Linked DNA regions of Sus scrofa. The protein of the gene in region 2 binds, or shares a complex with, the protein of the main gene of each other region. Links are inferred from orthologs where the notes say so. Each region holds a gene or a part of one and is shown on either strand. Other genes may lie near its edges.

What was found.
Region 1: CNOT10 (region 2) and CNOT6 share a complex: the UniProt entries of both Homo sapiens proteins name them as parts of the CCR4-NOT complex. The link is inferred for Sus scrofa from reciprocal best matches to the Homo sapiens genes CNOT10 and CNOT6.

What each region holds. Positions count from the first base shown.
Region 1 is NC_010444.4:78,198,450-78,205,964, forward strand, and holds the start of CNOT6 (CCR4-NOT transcription complex subunit 6), read right to left. Parts: upstream 4,065-7,515; 5' UTR 3,662-4,064; intron 1-3,661. UniProt on the Homo sapiens protein: Poly(A) nuclease with 3'-5' RNase activity.
Region 2 is NC_010455.5:18,654,512-18,661,997, forward strand, and holds the start of CNOT10 (CCR4-NOT transcription complex subunit 10), read left to right. Parts: upstream 1-3,437; 5' UTR 3,438-3,565; coding exon 3,566-3,767; intron 3,768-7,486. UniProt on the Homo sapiens protein: Component of the CCR4-NOT complex which is one of the major cellular mRNA deadenylases and is linked to various cellular processes including bulk mRNA degradation, miRNA-mediated repression, translational repression during translational initiation and general transcription regulation.

The DNA.
Region 1 (7,515 bases), on a different chromosome or scaffold from region 2:
ACTGCTCCCACACTTTCTACAAATGTAATTCTTTCTTCTCCTACAGCACTCTGTACACCTACTAAGTCTACAGACGAGAAGACAGGAACTGAGTATTATTCAGTTTTTAATTCTCAGGGTCCAATACTATGTTCAGCATATACTATTTTCTGCACATAACTTAAGTTACCAAGAAAACAAAAAAAATGAAGGGGAGGTAAAGTCCAGAGAAGGGTAATATTAAGGCAGCCTAAATTAGTCTCCATCTTACATGCAAATAACCTTCTTTTTTTGGCCACACCCTTGGCATGAGGAAGTTCCTGGGCCAGAGATCGAACCTGCACCAGGGCAGTGACTAGAGCAACAGCAGTGACACCAGATCCTTAACTCACTGTGCCACCAAAGAACTCCTACCTTCTCCTTTTCATTTACTTGTTCAAATACCAAAATATGGTGCATTCCATTGTACTCTAATGCACACAGGCTATGCATACAGTAAGTTTACAGTTTAACTTTTTTTTTTTTTTTTTGGTCTTTTTACATACAACCACACCTGAGGCATATGGAAGTTCCCGCCAGGCTAGGGGTTGAATCAGAACTGGAGCTTCTGGCTTACACCACAGTCACAGCAAGGCCAGATCTGAGGCCTGTCTGCAACCTACACCACAGCTCCTGGCAATGCTGGATCCTTAACCCACTGAGCAAGGCCAGGGATCGAACTCGAATCCCCACGAACACTAGCAGGGTTCTTAAGCTGCTGAGCCACAATGGGAATTCCAACAGTTTAACTTATTCAGCATTTCTTATTTTCACTTAGTGTTTTGTTACTTATACTACCTAGTGAAAGGGCTACCTTCCTCAAGTGAGTAGCAGATAAGGAAAGAAAAAAGTACATAAGTAAAAGATTTTGTGGAATCTAAGGATTTGAAAATTAAAATTGGAACTTTTTTCTAGACAGTAACGCTACATTCTAATTACAACAAAAGTATAAACAGTACACACTGGAAATCCAAGTCTTTTCTTCATTAAGACTGTATGTTCTTAACTGAACCTATTTTGACTTTTCCAAAGTGTTAAATACTTTAAAAGCAGGGCTTCCCAACCAGTGTACCTTATATATGGGAAAGTTACAGGTGTGCTAAAGAGGGTTCTCACCCCGTATGGCCCAAAAGCTATAGCGGTAAGCAGCCCTGACCATTTTTTCCCCCACATTTCAATCTGGTACTTGTTATTAGTTTTATACATTTAACTAACCTAGTTGTACCCATAAAGTTCCTTTTACACAACACAGTAATCTCTTGTTAATATAAGTGAATGAGTAGTGGCAAAAGCTAAATGAAGAGAGATGCCAGAGCAACAGCATTTGTTCTGTGGTATTACACCATTGGAGATCCATAACCAAGGGAAACATAAAATAGGCCATCAAAACAAACATGAAGTTGGAGTTCCTGCTGTGGCACAATGGGATCAGCAGCAATGCTGGGAGGCAGCAACCTGGGAGGCAGGTTCGATTCCAGGCTCAGCACAATGAAATAAGGATCCCCTGCTACCGCAGGTGCAGTTCTGATCTGAGCCCTGGCCCTGGAACTCTATAGACCACGGGGCGGCCAAAAAAGAGAAAAAAAAAAAAAAAAAAAAAAAAAAGAAATTAACACTGGACAATTGAAATGTCACAATTATACTGACAATATATTAAAGTAGAAGTTTATGAAAATACAACTCTTACCATTAGAAATTTCATGTATATTTAAGTGATTCCACAGGAATTTTAAGGTATATGATATAATACCATTGATTTATTTTTTCATTTTTAAAAGATTTATTGAAATATAGTTGATGTACAATGTTGTGATCAGCCTTGACCATTTATTCCAGTATGCCTTATATATATGATCCCTTTCTGTTATACTATGGTATGAAAGAGATTTGTGCTTTAAAGACTATAAAAAAGCTAATATGAATACAGTGGAATGCCTAAGCATTAACCAAAATGCATTAGGTATAAACCACAAGTACATTAAGCAAATTCCTACAGCGCCTTTATTTGTAGCCAGGACCAAGCAAGTTCTATAACTAATTTCATGTCTGTTCAAAAGGAAATAGTCTGAAAAGTTTTACTTTGCCACTGATTTAAGAAATCTGGGGGAAAAAAAAAAAAAAAAAAAAAAAAAAACCCTAAAAATCAAATAGGCTTTCAAAAGAGCTTATCCACATTTCATGTACATTACATTCTGAGTCTCAGAAAAAGACTTTTGTCCTTTGTGATACCCTCATTTTGTCATCTTTTCATTAAGCATCTTGCTCACCTACTGAGGACTGACCAGACTCAACCAGTTCAAGTAACTTCCATCCATTAAAACAAATCCCTCTTCCCTCCTAAAACTAACCTCCAGCAAGAACAGCACTTGTTCACGCATGCTAACACAAAACCCAGTCCTTTCCCTAACTGCATAATCTTGGGCAAGTTACTTTAACCTTCCTAGGCCTGTTTCCTCAACATCAGCTATTCAAATATTTTGTTTAAATCAAGTCTACTGGACTAGATCACTCGTCTAAAAATATTAAGCAATTTTTATTTCCAAAGTGATCATATTCTAAAGACTGCCATAATTACCCTGAGAGCAATTACAAAATAAGTCTTCAAAACCTTCTGATCAATGGACATAGCTCCTATACCCTACAAAACTGCTTAGGGATGGTAAATTCTAGCATAAAACAAAGTGCTAGTAAATGTCATTTTATTTTTCACTTGTTCATATTTTCTCTTCCTCTCCAAAATTAAAATCCCCAGGCACAAAGAGGCAAAAAGATTCCACACTAGCACTAATGGGACAATCCATGTGGAAAACAGGTAAGTATGGGAATTCATATTCAAGGAGACTAAATGTCAGCTTAACACAAGAAGTCCAAAAAGAACAAGCAAGATGACCATTCACAATCTGTAATTTGCAGTAACAGTTCAAGAAAAAGTTACAAGTGTTCATCAGCAGGCTCTTTGGGGAAGATGAAGGAGGAAAAGAGCCAAAGGTTTCCAAAGAAAATAATGATTTAGAAATAAATAGGAGAGATATGATTCTAGTTATCAGAAAAGACTGTTTCAAGTACTTAAAACCATCTCTGAGTCCTCAGCAGTATTATATGTCTTTTCATCTGGTTCTAAGTTCTTCTTTAACCATGTCATTCCTACCCCTCAAAATTTTTTCCTCAAACTGAGTTTTAAATATATTTGGGGGAGGAGTAAACAGTTGGTTTCCCGCTTTACCCTAACTGCGAAGTTCCACACTCCACCGCGCAATCCCACATAGCCCACTTCTCCAAAGTTGCCACCCATCCTGGCCGAGAGTCCTGGACACCAAGTCTCCTCCTAGAACGACCACAATCAGAGTCTAGGCCCAGGGAATCCCCCAACCTCGGCGCCCCCTGCGCGCCCCCGCCGTCAATCAACGCCCCCACTCCCCTACTCTGCGCGGGGGCGCGGCCTGAAGAGGCGTGGGATCGCAACAGCTGCGCGTCTAGGGACCCCCAACAGCCGCCAGCTCCTCCAAGCTGCAGGCCTGTTGCCCGCAAAACTCAAGTTCCTATGGCCCGAGCCCCCCGCGCTCCAGTCCTACCGAGCGGGGCCCGTGCGCTATCCGTGTGCAGGGAGCAGCGCCTGGCCGGGCCTCGGGTGCGTCTCGCTCACCTCTTGGGGTGCGCCGCCTTCCTCCGCCGCTGCCGCCGCCTCCTCCCTATGAGTGCAGCGGGGTCTGACCTGTGGAACCACCATACCAGTCCCGCCCGCTGCTGCAGCGCCGCCGCCGCCGCCGCTCTTCTGCCGCCTCAGTCGCCGCTCTTTGTTTCCCCTCTGAAATCCACCGCTTAAGCCGCCCGCCTCAGCCGCCCTGACGGGTCGCCACTACGCCCTCCGGCCTCCCAGCCTCCGGCCTCGCCCGCCTAACTGCGCCCACCGCTGTCTTCGCCTCCGCGCCGCCGACGTCGCCGCCACCGACGCCGCCGCCTCCTCCTCCGCGCCCCCCTAGTTTTCATTGAAAGCAAACAAGATCATGGCGGCGGCCGCCGTCCCCCAGCCAGCGAGCGCCCGGACCGCCGCCGCCGCTCCAACATCCCGGCCGCCCATTGGCTGCTGCCGCCGGGTGCGACCATTCAGCGTCCGGGGAGGTCTCTCTCCGCACGCCGCTTTCCTAGGCCCCGCCCGCTCGTGCCCCCCATACCCCTCCCCCCGCCACTGGAAGCAGTGAGCCGACCCAGCGCGCTTTGGGGCGGGCCTCCCTCTCCCCTTCCCGCTCTCCTACGGATTTCCTGCCTGGTAGCGCCTGATTTCTTAAGGCTCCTCCGTTTTTCAGCTAGGTTTTTTTTTTGTTTGTTTGTTTGTTTGTTTGTTTTTTTTCCCTCCAGCTGTTCACTCTTGTTCCTCTCTTCCCTCTTTTTTCTTGGTCTACGACTCTTCGTTTCGCCTGTCAGTCACATGGAAAACAAGGACAAGCTGATTCGAGACTTCAGTGGTAAACTGTTGCATGATTCTTCCTCCCTCAGCTATGCAGAGAAAACTAATTAGTGGCCTGTTTCAGGCCATTCATGATTACTCAGTCCAGTAAATCGAGGGACAGTTCCGGTGGTGGGATCCTAGCTTGGAGTAAAGTCTGCAGCTGTATTCGGAAATCAGGTGGTGATTGAAAATGAAAGGATAAAGGACTGGGCTGATCGATGGTGCACATTAGTTGGCTGGTGGTCCAGGCTCTGTGCTGGGGCCAGGGCAAAGCGATAAATCAGGCTCTAGCCTGCTCTGAGTAAGCGCACAGCTTAGGGTCAAGACTGTTTTGTTTTGCTTTTCTTTTTACAGCTGCACCAGCAGCATATGAAAGTTCCTAGGCTAGGGGTCAACCCACCTGAGCCACAGCCACATCAAAGCCAGATCCTAGCCAAGTCCACAACCCACACCGCAGTTCACCGCGATGTCAGATCCCAGGGATCCAACCCACATCCCCATGGATACTAGTCAAGATTGTTACCACAATGGAAATTCTTGGGCAAGACTGTTAAAACCTACTAGAGATGCATGTGGACGGGCAGGGCAGTGAGGAGAAAGGAATAGCTGTCTACTCACCATGGCAAACTAGGATGAGCCCCTGGCTCCTTCCTGGAAAATCAGCTCCGAAGAAATGAGAGGCAAATGGATTTCAGCAACAAAATGAGACACACACACACACCCCCAGCTGTCTTGGACTAGAGGATGTGGGAAATGGATGGCTTCTGTTGGGGCAGAGAAGAGCTGGAAGGGCAAGGAAAAGATTAAGAGACAAAAACTGTTTGAGTTCTATGCTTGCTTCTCCCCAGCATGGCCTTGGAATGGTCATTGCCTGCCATTTGCCAAGAAATCAACAGTGCCATCTCAGTCCTCTAGTGTCAGAGGACACTGGACAAGGGCAGGGCAACATGAAAGCTCATCAAGGGAAAGGGGTTGCAAAGAGCAAGTTTAGACTGACCTGCTGTCTGTGGGCATCCATCCCTCCACAGCTTCCAAGCCCTGAGTACTGTGCTTTACAAAGTGTCACCAGACCAAGGGGCCATTGTCATTCTCTGCCCTCCTTGTGTGTGCTGTGCCCTGGTAACCTTTACTACAGCCTGGAGAAAGAGGTGACTTACTTTTTGTAATTCATCTGCCCAGAAGGAGCTCCTTTTTGTAATTGAAACAATGTGTAAGGAGGCCAGGAAATCCAGCTAGCTGCATAACAAACAACTTAGTTGCATAAAACCATAAATGTATTATATCTCCTGATGCTAGGGCTCTGCTAGACAGTTCTAAGGGTCTCACTTGGGGTTTCTCATGCCTCTACTGAGATGGTAGCTAGGGGTTAGATGTTGGACACCTCTGTGTCCCCAATGAGGCCTCTCTGTGTAGTATCCCATCCTCTCACTTTTCTTTATGGCCTCTCTCCAGCAGGTTAGCCCAGACATCTCACATGACATCCCAGGGCTCCAAGTTCCAAGTAAGTGGAAACTACCAGAACTTTTGAAGAATGTCACAAGCCCAGTCCAGATTCAAGAGAAGAGGACATAAGCAATGCAGGAGCCGCATGAACATAAAGGGAGGGGCACACTTATTTGGGGCCATCTCAGTAGACTAGCTACCACAGGGAGGGAACCACTGGTTGCCCTGCCCGATACATCCTGTTCTTTCTGAATATCTGAAAAGAACCCCACCAAATGCCCTTCCTGATCCAGATTAAAGTGTTCCTCGTGTTAGGCAAGACTTCCTAGTACAAGTTATAAAACCCCGACTCAAACAGGCTTTATGCAGAAAGGGGTCATTTAGTATTCCAGTATCATTTAACTGAGAAGTTCAGGCATCTTCAGATGTCAACAAGGGTCAATCCAATCCCACTCCCTAATCCTCTGCTCCGTTTTATTCCCCTCTGGCCTCTTCTCACTGGCCATGTGACCAGGCACAAAAGATGGCTGTGTCTTTAGGCTTAGAGTCTACCAGCTCCAGCTGCAAAGCCATGTCTCATTTGCAGTTCACTTTATTGTGCTTCTCAGATAGTGCGTTATTTACAAAGTGAAAGTTTGTGGGAAACCTGCAAGTCTATAGGTGTCTTTCTCCAACATCATTTGCTCACTTCATTTCTCTATATCACATTTGGTAATTCTCACAATATTTCAAACTTTTTCATTGTTATTATATTTATTAGGGTGATCTTTAATTAGTGATGTTTGATGTACTATTGTAATTGTTTTGAAGTACCATAAATTGGCCCATATAAGATAACAAACAATGGGTAAATGCTGCATGTTCTGACTGCTTCACCAACAAGCTGTTCCCTTGTTTTTTCTCCTTTTCTTCAGGCCTCCCTAATTCCTAAGACACAATATTGAAATTAGGCCAATAAATAATCTTGCATTGGCCCCTAAGAGTTCAGGTGAAGGGAAGTGTCACATGTCTCTCCCTTTAAATCAAAAGCTAGAGATGATTATGCTTAGTGAGAAAGGGATGTCAAAAGCTGAGATAAGCTAAAAGCCAGGCCTCTTGAACCAAAAATTTAGCCAAGTTGTGAATGCAAAGGAAAAGTTCTTGAAGGAAACTAAAAGTGCTATTTCAGCGAACACATGAATGATGAGAGAGTGAAACAGCTTTATGCTGATATGGAGAATGTTCTAATGGTCTGGATAGAAGATCAAACAAGCCACAACTTTGAAGCCAAAGTCGAATCCAGAGCAAGGTCCTAACTCTCTTAAATTCTATAAAGACAGAGAAAGATGAGGAAGCTGCAGAAGAAAAGTTTCAAGTTAGCAGAGGTTGGTTTACAAAGTTGGAGGAAAGAAGCTGTCTCCATAACATAAAAGTACAAGGTGAAGGCACAAGTGGTGATGTAGAAGTTGCAGCAGGTTATCCAGCAGATCTAACTATGATAATGAATGAAGGTAGCAACACTAAGCAGTAGATTTTTAACGTGGACAAAATAGCCTTATATTGGAAGAAGATGCCATCTAGGACTTGCATAGCTGGAGAGGAGAAAATGCCTGGCTTCAAATCTTCAA
Region 2 (7,486 bases):
ATCTCTCTAAAATTTCTTCATACATTTATTAAAAATAAGGACATAAACTTATTACAGTACCATAATCATACTTCAGAAAATTAATATTTGAATATATTAGATTTCCTTCATTGTTCCAAAAATGTTATTTAAAGTTTTAAAGAAACTGTGACTTTTAAATTAATACCCAGTCAAGGCTCATTCATTGTATTTTGATGTTTCTCTTAATACCCCATATCTTTTTTCTTTTTCTTTCATTCTTTTTTTTTTTCTTTTGTCTTTTGTCTTTTTAGGGCTGCACCCGCAGCATATGGAGGTTCCCAGGCTAGGGGTCTAATCAGAGCTGCAGCTGCTAGCCTACACCACAGCCACGGCAACACCAGATCCAAGCCATGTCTACGACCTACACCACAGCTCATGGCATTGCTGGATCCTTAACCCATTCAGTGAGGCCAGAGATTGAACCCGAAACCTCATGGTTCCTAGTCGGATTTGTTTCCGCTGCGCCAAGGCAGGAACTCACTCTTTCTTTTTTTTTTTAATGACAGTGAGATTAAGTGGACTGTCTTACAAAATGCCCCATATTCTGCATGTTTTGATTGTTTCTTCCTGGTATCTTTTAATTAATTCCTTATATCTCCTGTATTTTCTGTAACTGAATGTTATTACTACAGGCTTGATTAGATTTAGATTTAACATATTTTTAAGATGCTTTGTAAGTGGCGTTCTGTACTTTATATAAAGCACATCAACTGTAACCCAACTATAATGGAAAAAATAAAAATCATTTTTTAAAAAAAGCACCTACTGTCACTTTGTCCACTATTGATGATGCTCAGTTTGATCAGTTTGTTAAGGTGGTCACAGGAATGTCCTTTCCCATATTCAGTCAGAAGTAATATACAGGATATACAAAAATATCAAATCATTAGGTTGTACACCTGAAACTAATATAATGTTATATGACAGTTGCATCTCGGATTCTTTAAAAAAGTAATCTATGTGGTAATAATTTGGCATTATATAAACATCCACTGTAGATGATCTTTGCCATAATCAGTTACATCATTGGGGGTTGCAAAGTGATACTTTTCCTAATTCTATTACCGTGTCTGCATTTGTTAGCTGGCATTCTTTTTTTTTTTTTTTTGTCTTTTTGCCTTTTCTAGGGCCACTGCCACGGCATATGGAGATTCCCAGGCTAGGGGTCTAATCAGAGCCGTAGCCACCAGCCTATGCCAGAGCCACAGCAACGCCAGGTCCGAGCCGAGTCTGCAACCTATACCACAGCTCATGGCAACACCAGATCCTCAACCCACTGAGCAAGGCCAGGGATCGAACCTGCAACCTCATCGTTCCTAGTTGAATTCGTTAACCACTGAGCCACGACGGGAACTCCTAGCTGGCATTCTACAAAGAATAGTTCTGACATATAAACTGGGATGAAGTGTAATTTTTCCCAGAAAGGATATCAATTGTTAAAAACTTAATTCAACTTTTTTTTTTTTTTAGAGTTGCACTCTCAGCATACAGAAGTTCCCAGGCTAGGGGTTGAATCTGAGCTGCAGCTGCTGGCTTACATCAAACCTGTGTCCTCATGGATGCTAGTCAGATTCGTTTTTCTGAACCATGACGGGAACTCCTAATTCAGCCTTTTCATTTATCAGTTTTCAGAATAAGGATTAACAGTGACCTACACTGGATATTTTAAGTGTTTTTAATGTTTAAGAACTTAGAGTCTTGGGGAGTTCCTGTTGTGGCTCAGTGGGTTTCAAACTAATATCCATGAAGACGCAGATTCAATTCCTGGCCGCGCTCAGTGGGTTAAGGATCGGGCATTGCGTGAGCTGTGGTGTAGGCCAGCAGCTGCAGCTCTGATTCACCCCTTGGCCTGAAAACTTCCATATGCTGCAGGTGTGGCCCTAAAAAGCAAAAAACAAAACCAAAAAAATTTAGAGTCTTAGAGTTTCCTGGTGGCTCAGCAGGTTAAAGAGTCCGTGTTATCACTGCTATGGCTCTAGTCATTGCTGTGATGTAGGTTTGATCTCTGCCCCAAGAACGTCTGTGTGCCATGGGCACCGCTAAAAAAAAAAAAAAAAGAATTTAGAGTCTTATGATTCCAAATTAAAGTTTGTAATTGTTTGGATAATTGATTAATATTTGTGAATATAAGTTGAAGCCTTACTGTATTATTGCACAGACAGTAAAGAGTACCCAAGAGTCACTATTTTTGTAAGCTTAGTTTTTTAGATTTATAAGTAACTTGAGTTCTCAGAAAATTTTGTCTTTTTTAAGTCAAATTACTTAAATTGGGACATTAAATTATTTAAAGTAGTTAAAATTTTATGTTTGAAGGTATTTATCTTTGTAAATGAAATCAGACGTTCATCACAGCCCTTTCAAATTTAAAACTCAAAGTAGAATAAGATGTCTAAGTTGAATGTGAAAGTTTAGGCTTTTTGGAGTTCCCCTTGTGGAGCAATGGAAACGAACCCGACTAGTATCCATGAGGATGCAGGTTCAATCCCTGGCCTTGCTCAGTGGGTTAAGGATCTGGTGTTGCCATGAGTTGTGGTGTAGGCCTGCAGTTGTAGCTCCGATTCGACCCCTATCCTAGGAACGTCCTAAAAAGCAAAAAAAAAAAAAAAAAAATTAGACTTTTTGAATTTGTGACATTAAGAAGTCAAATATTAATATTTGAAAACTACAGTAAATCTCTTTTCTGGGACTGAAAACTAGTCTTAGATATGAAAATAAAAATACTCATCAGCGGTGGTATTGTTCTGCTTTGCCTGTCTTCCCGAGGTATGCTGATACTCTTTTTTTGTTTCTTTTTTTGGCCTTCCGAGGCATATGGAGTTACTGGGCCAGGGATCAGGTCTGAGCCTTAGTTGTGACCCAAGCCACAGCTGCAGTAACACTGCATCCTTAACCCACCGTGTTGAGCTGGGAAATCAAACCTGAGTCCCAGTGCTCCAGAGATGCCACCATTCCTGTTGCACCATAGTGGGAACTGCACTATGCTGATATTCTTGATACTTGGTATTCTATTCCTTTATTTCTGCCATGCTGGACAGGGTGCTCAAGTTTGTGGCATCCTGGTCACATGTCAGTTCTTGGAGCTGTGTAGAAATCAGCCATTCTGTCTAGGGCTTTGCTAAGGTAGGTCTACTTGTTCAAATGATAGAAAACACATGCCAGGTATTCGGATCTTAGCCGTATGGTGGCTTTGGTAAATGTGAATGATTTTTCTCTGAAATGGCATCTTCCTTATTTAAAATTTTCCCTCTCAAAGGCATCAGCACTATTTTGTATGTGTAGAGGTATTTCTTTAGGCCTACATTTCTTTTTTCTTTGGAAAAAAATGTGGTGGTTTTTGTTTTGTTTTTGTTTTTTTGAACATCGTTGGAGCTATATTTTGAAAATTGGAGCTTGTATGGAAGCTCCTCCTCCATTAGGTTTGAATTGTTAACCTTCTACATTAGAATGTTTCTGGGTTTTCAGTTAACTGACTTTTTTCAGTTTTGAAAAAGAGATGTGTTTCTTTGCTACTTAGTTTAAACCTAAAGGCAATTGGTTGGTAGAAATGAAGTCTGTTGGCTTAAAAAGCGTCAAGGTTTGTGCATCTAAAAGCTCTGTTCGCCTGGAAAGTCAGCCCTGTTCATTAGGCCAGAGTAGAAGGAAAGTCAAACTTACAGATAATCGGTCATATACTCTTTCAATTGGCAATGGAGACTATTTCTGGACAAGTAAAGACACGTTGTGGAATTATGTGCAGACTCTTTCTGGTAAGAAGTCAGTATTACCAAAAAACCAAATGTTTTAAAGACTAATTGCAAAAAATAATACCAGTTCCTTACAGAAAACCTGTAAAGTGAAGAAAGATAAGGAAAATAAAAATAGTAATACCACTGAAGTGAGTTTTTCCCTCTGAGTTTTATCTTGAAGTGAAAGAATGTAGGTAGAATAATAATTTTTATTATTAACATGTAATAGGCTATTTATTGAGCTTGGCTATCTAAAATGTCTAGGAGTGGGGAGTTCCTGTCGAGGCTCAGCAGAAACGAATCTGACTAGGAACCATGAAGTTGCAGGTTTGATTCCTGGCCTCACTCAGTGGGTTAAGGATCCAGCATTGCCATGAGCTGTAGTGTAGATCACAGACATGCCTTAAATCTGGCATGGCTTGGCGTAAGACAGCAGCTGCAGCTCTGATTCCACCCCTAGCCTGGAAATTTCCATATGCCACGGGTACAGCCCTAAAAAGACCAAAAAAAAAAAAAAAAAAAGTCGAGGAGTTCTCTTGTGGCTCTAAGGGCTAAGGATATGGCATTGTCACTGCAGCAGCCCAGGACACTGCTGTGGCAAGGCTTTGATCCCTGGCCCCAGGGAACTTCCATATGCTGAAGGCACAGCCAAAATAAAAATAAAAATAAAAATAAAATAAAATGTCTGTAGAAATGGGAATTTCAGGGTCTCTTGTTGTTAAAGTTGGTGTCTCTCTTTACTTGGAAGACTTTAGGAAACTTTTATAGTTCTAGAGGATGATAGCAGTAGCCACATGAGCCAGTCTGCTTTTGGCGGAAAGTAGAAGCTTAAACTCTTCAGTGCCTTGGTGAATTGTTGGGTGTTTCCCTCCTCCCTGTATTTATAAATCGCAATTTATAAATGACATTTGGGCCCAGAAGTCCCATGAAGGAATGTCATCTAATCTAAGAGGAGGGCGTGTTTTATTTTTTTTGTTTTGTTTTGCTTTGTTTTGTTTTTGTCTTCTTAGGGTTGCACCCTTGGTGTATGGAAGTTCCCTGGCTAAGGGTGAAATCAGAGCTGCAGTTGTGCTGGCCTGTGCCACAGCCACACCAACGCAGGATCTGAGCTGCATCTGTCACCTACACCAAAGCTCACAGCAATGCCAGATCCTTAACCCATTGAGTGAGGCCAGTGTTTGAACCTGTGTCCTCATGGATACTAGTTGGGTTCCTTACTGCTGAGCCCTGATGGGAACTGCCAAGGAGGGTGTGTTTTAGAAGAAGCTATGGAGGTAACTTGATGGCAAACTAAAATTTTTGGCATTTGGTTTAAATTTAGTATCTTTATGTAGATGGATTTTTTAAACACTTTAGGCACCCTAAAAATTTTATAAAGTATTTATGTTCATTGTTAAAATGGTCTCATGAATATACACAGAGTTGAGGGTTCTGTCTCATTCTAAACTCTCATTTTACTTTCTGGAGTCCTGAAATCCTGTGTCCCCATTTTTACACATTTTAAAGAAATTGGCCCTCACTCTGAACAATATTGTGTTATTTTGTAAAACAGATGCATTGTGTAAACAGTTGAGTTAACAAATAACTCTATTATTGGCTTTCTAAAGAAAAAGTTGTTTGAGTGTCCTCTTAAACCAGTGAGCTGTCCCCATTGAACAATTAGTTTTTCCTCCTCCCAGTTACTTATCTGTATGCAAAAGTAGATATGAAATACTAATTTATCTAACTTTAATTATCAGAAATAATTATTCTGATAAGCCCAAATACCAGAATGCCTTTTTTATTTTTTTATTTTTTTTTTTTTGTCTTTTGTCTTTTTGTCTTTTGTTGTTGTTGTTGTTATTGTTGCTATTTCTTGGGCTGCTCCTGCAGCATATGGAGGTTCCCAGGCTAGGGGTCGAATCGGAGCTGTAGCTGCCAGCCTACGCCAGAGCCACAGCAACGCGGGATCCGAGCCGTGTCTGCAACCTACACCACAGCTCACGGCAACGCCGGATCGTTAACCCACTGAGCAAGGGCAGGGACCGAACCCGCAACCTCATGGTTCCTAGTCGGATTCGTTAACCACTGCGCCACGACAGGAACTCCAGAATGCCTTTTTTATAGGTCAAATCTAAGTCTTAAATAAATTCACTTAAGTACAAGTTATATTATCATATCTAATAATAGGAGTTTCTTGGCGATCTAAGGAGCTGTTCATATTAAATCTAATTTCATTGTTAATTTGTGTGTTTAAGGTGCATAAATAAGTCTTGGGGTTGTTTTTTTTTTTTAACTTTTTTTTTTTGGCCATACCCTTGGCATATGGAAGTTCCTGGACCAGGGATTGTACCCAAACCACAGCAGTGACCTTATTTAGCATCAGTAAGCAGAGCTAGGTGGCCAAGGGGAGACCAGACTGAAGCCAAGACTTTTTATTGTACTATGTTGCCATCTTGAGGGAGGGAAATTGGAAGTCTTTACTGATTGATGACATGTGCCAAGCCAGGGCTTCCGAAAGTTAGCTCTGCTGAGGACTAGTTCTTTGAAATGCTCCTGGAAGACAGGTTTCTAGGCAGTTATCAAGAAATACCCACATTAGGAGTTCCCATTGTGGTGCATCAGAATGAATCCAGCTGGTATCCATGAAGATGTGGGTTCAGTCCCTGGCCTCGCTTAGTGGGTCAGGGATCCAGTGTTGCTGTGAGCTGTGGTGCAGGTCACAGATGCAGCTCAGATCCTGGCTGCGACTGTTGGCTGTAGCTCCAATTTGACCCCTAGCCTGGGAACTTCCACATACCACAGGTGCAACCCTGAAAAGCAAAAAGAAAAAGAAATACCCACATTATTGAGTGTACGTGTAATTAAATGAATGCTCACACACTCAGAAATACCTCTTCATACTCCACCTGATGCATACTGCAGTCACTAGACTTCTTAAGGCAACCCCCATCTGACTTCCAAAACGTTTTATTAGTTTTAGGCAGACATTTAAAAAGTAAAACTTTTAAGCAGTAACCCATATTCATTATAAAAATTTAAACAATTGTTGTCAAATACAAGTTCATGTGCCCAGTGCACAGTGAGGCCAGACAAACTGAAACCTGGGAGTTTGGAGCAGAGAAAGGTTTATTGCAGGGCCAAGCAAGAAGAATAGGTGGCTTGTGCTCAGAAAACTTGAGCTCCTCAATGGTTTTTGGAAAAAAAGTTTTTATAGGCAAAAGTTGGGAGGAGGGCTCAGGGTGTGTACCTTTCTCCTGATTGGTTGATGGGGTGGCAGGGGGCTGTCCAAAAATCTTACGGTTCAGCCCAAAGTTACCTTCCTCCACTCTGGCCGGTAGCCTTAATTCTGTTGAAGAATTCAGAGCTATATTATTGTTACCTATATTCCCTGAGGAGAAACCTATACCCTGCACTGTTGTCTATTGACTGCTCCTCCTTTGTTTCTGCATTCCCTCCCTAACTTAATTAATGTTTGAGGAGTTCCCTTTGTGGTGCATCAGAACGAATCTGAGTAGTACCTGTGAGGATGCAGGTTCAATCCCTGGGTGTTGGGAATCCAACTTTGCCATGAGTTGTGGTGTAGGCTGCAGATGCAGCTTGGATACCCTGGGGTCACTGTGGCTGTGGTGCTGGGTGACAGCAAATTTGAATCTGTCCTTCGGCTCTCAGTGAAGACCCTTTTTTTTTTTTTTAAATGATTTTTTATTTCTTCCATTATAGCTGGTTTACAGTGTAGTGTCAATTTTCCACAATATCAG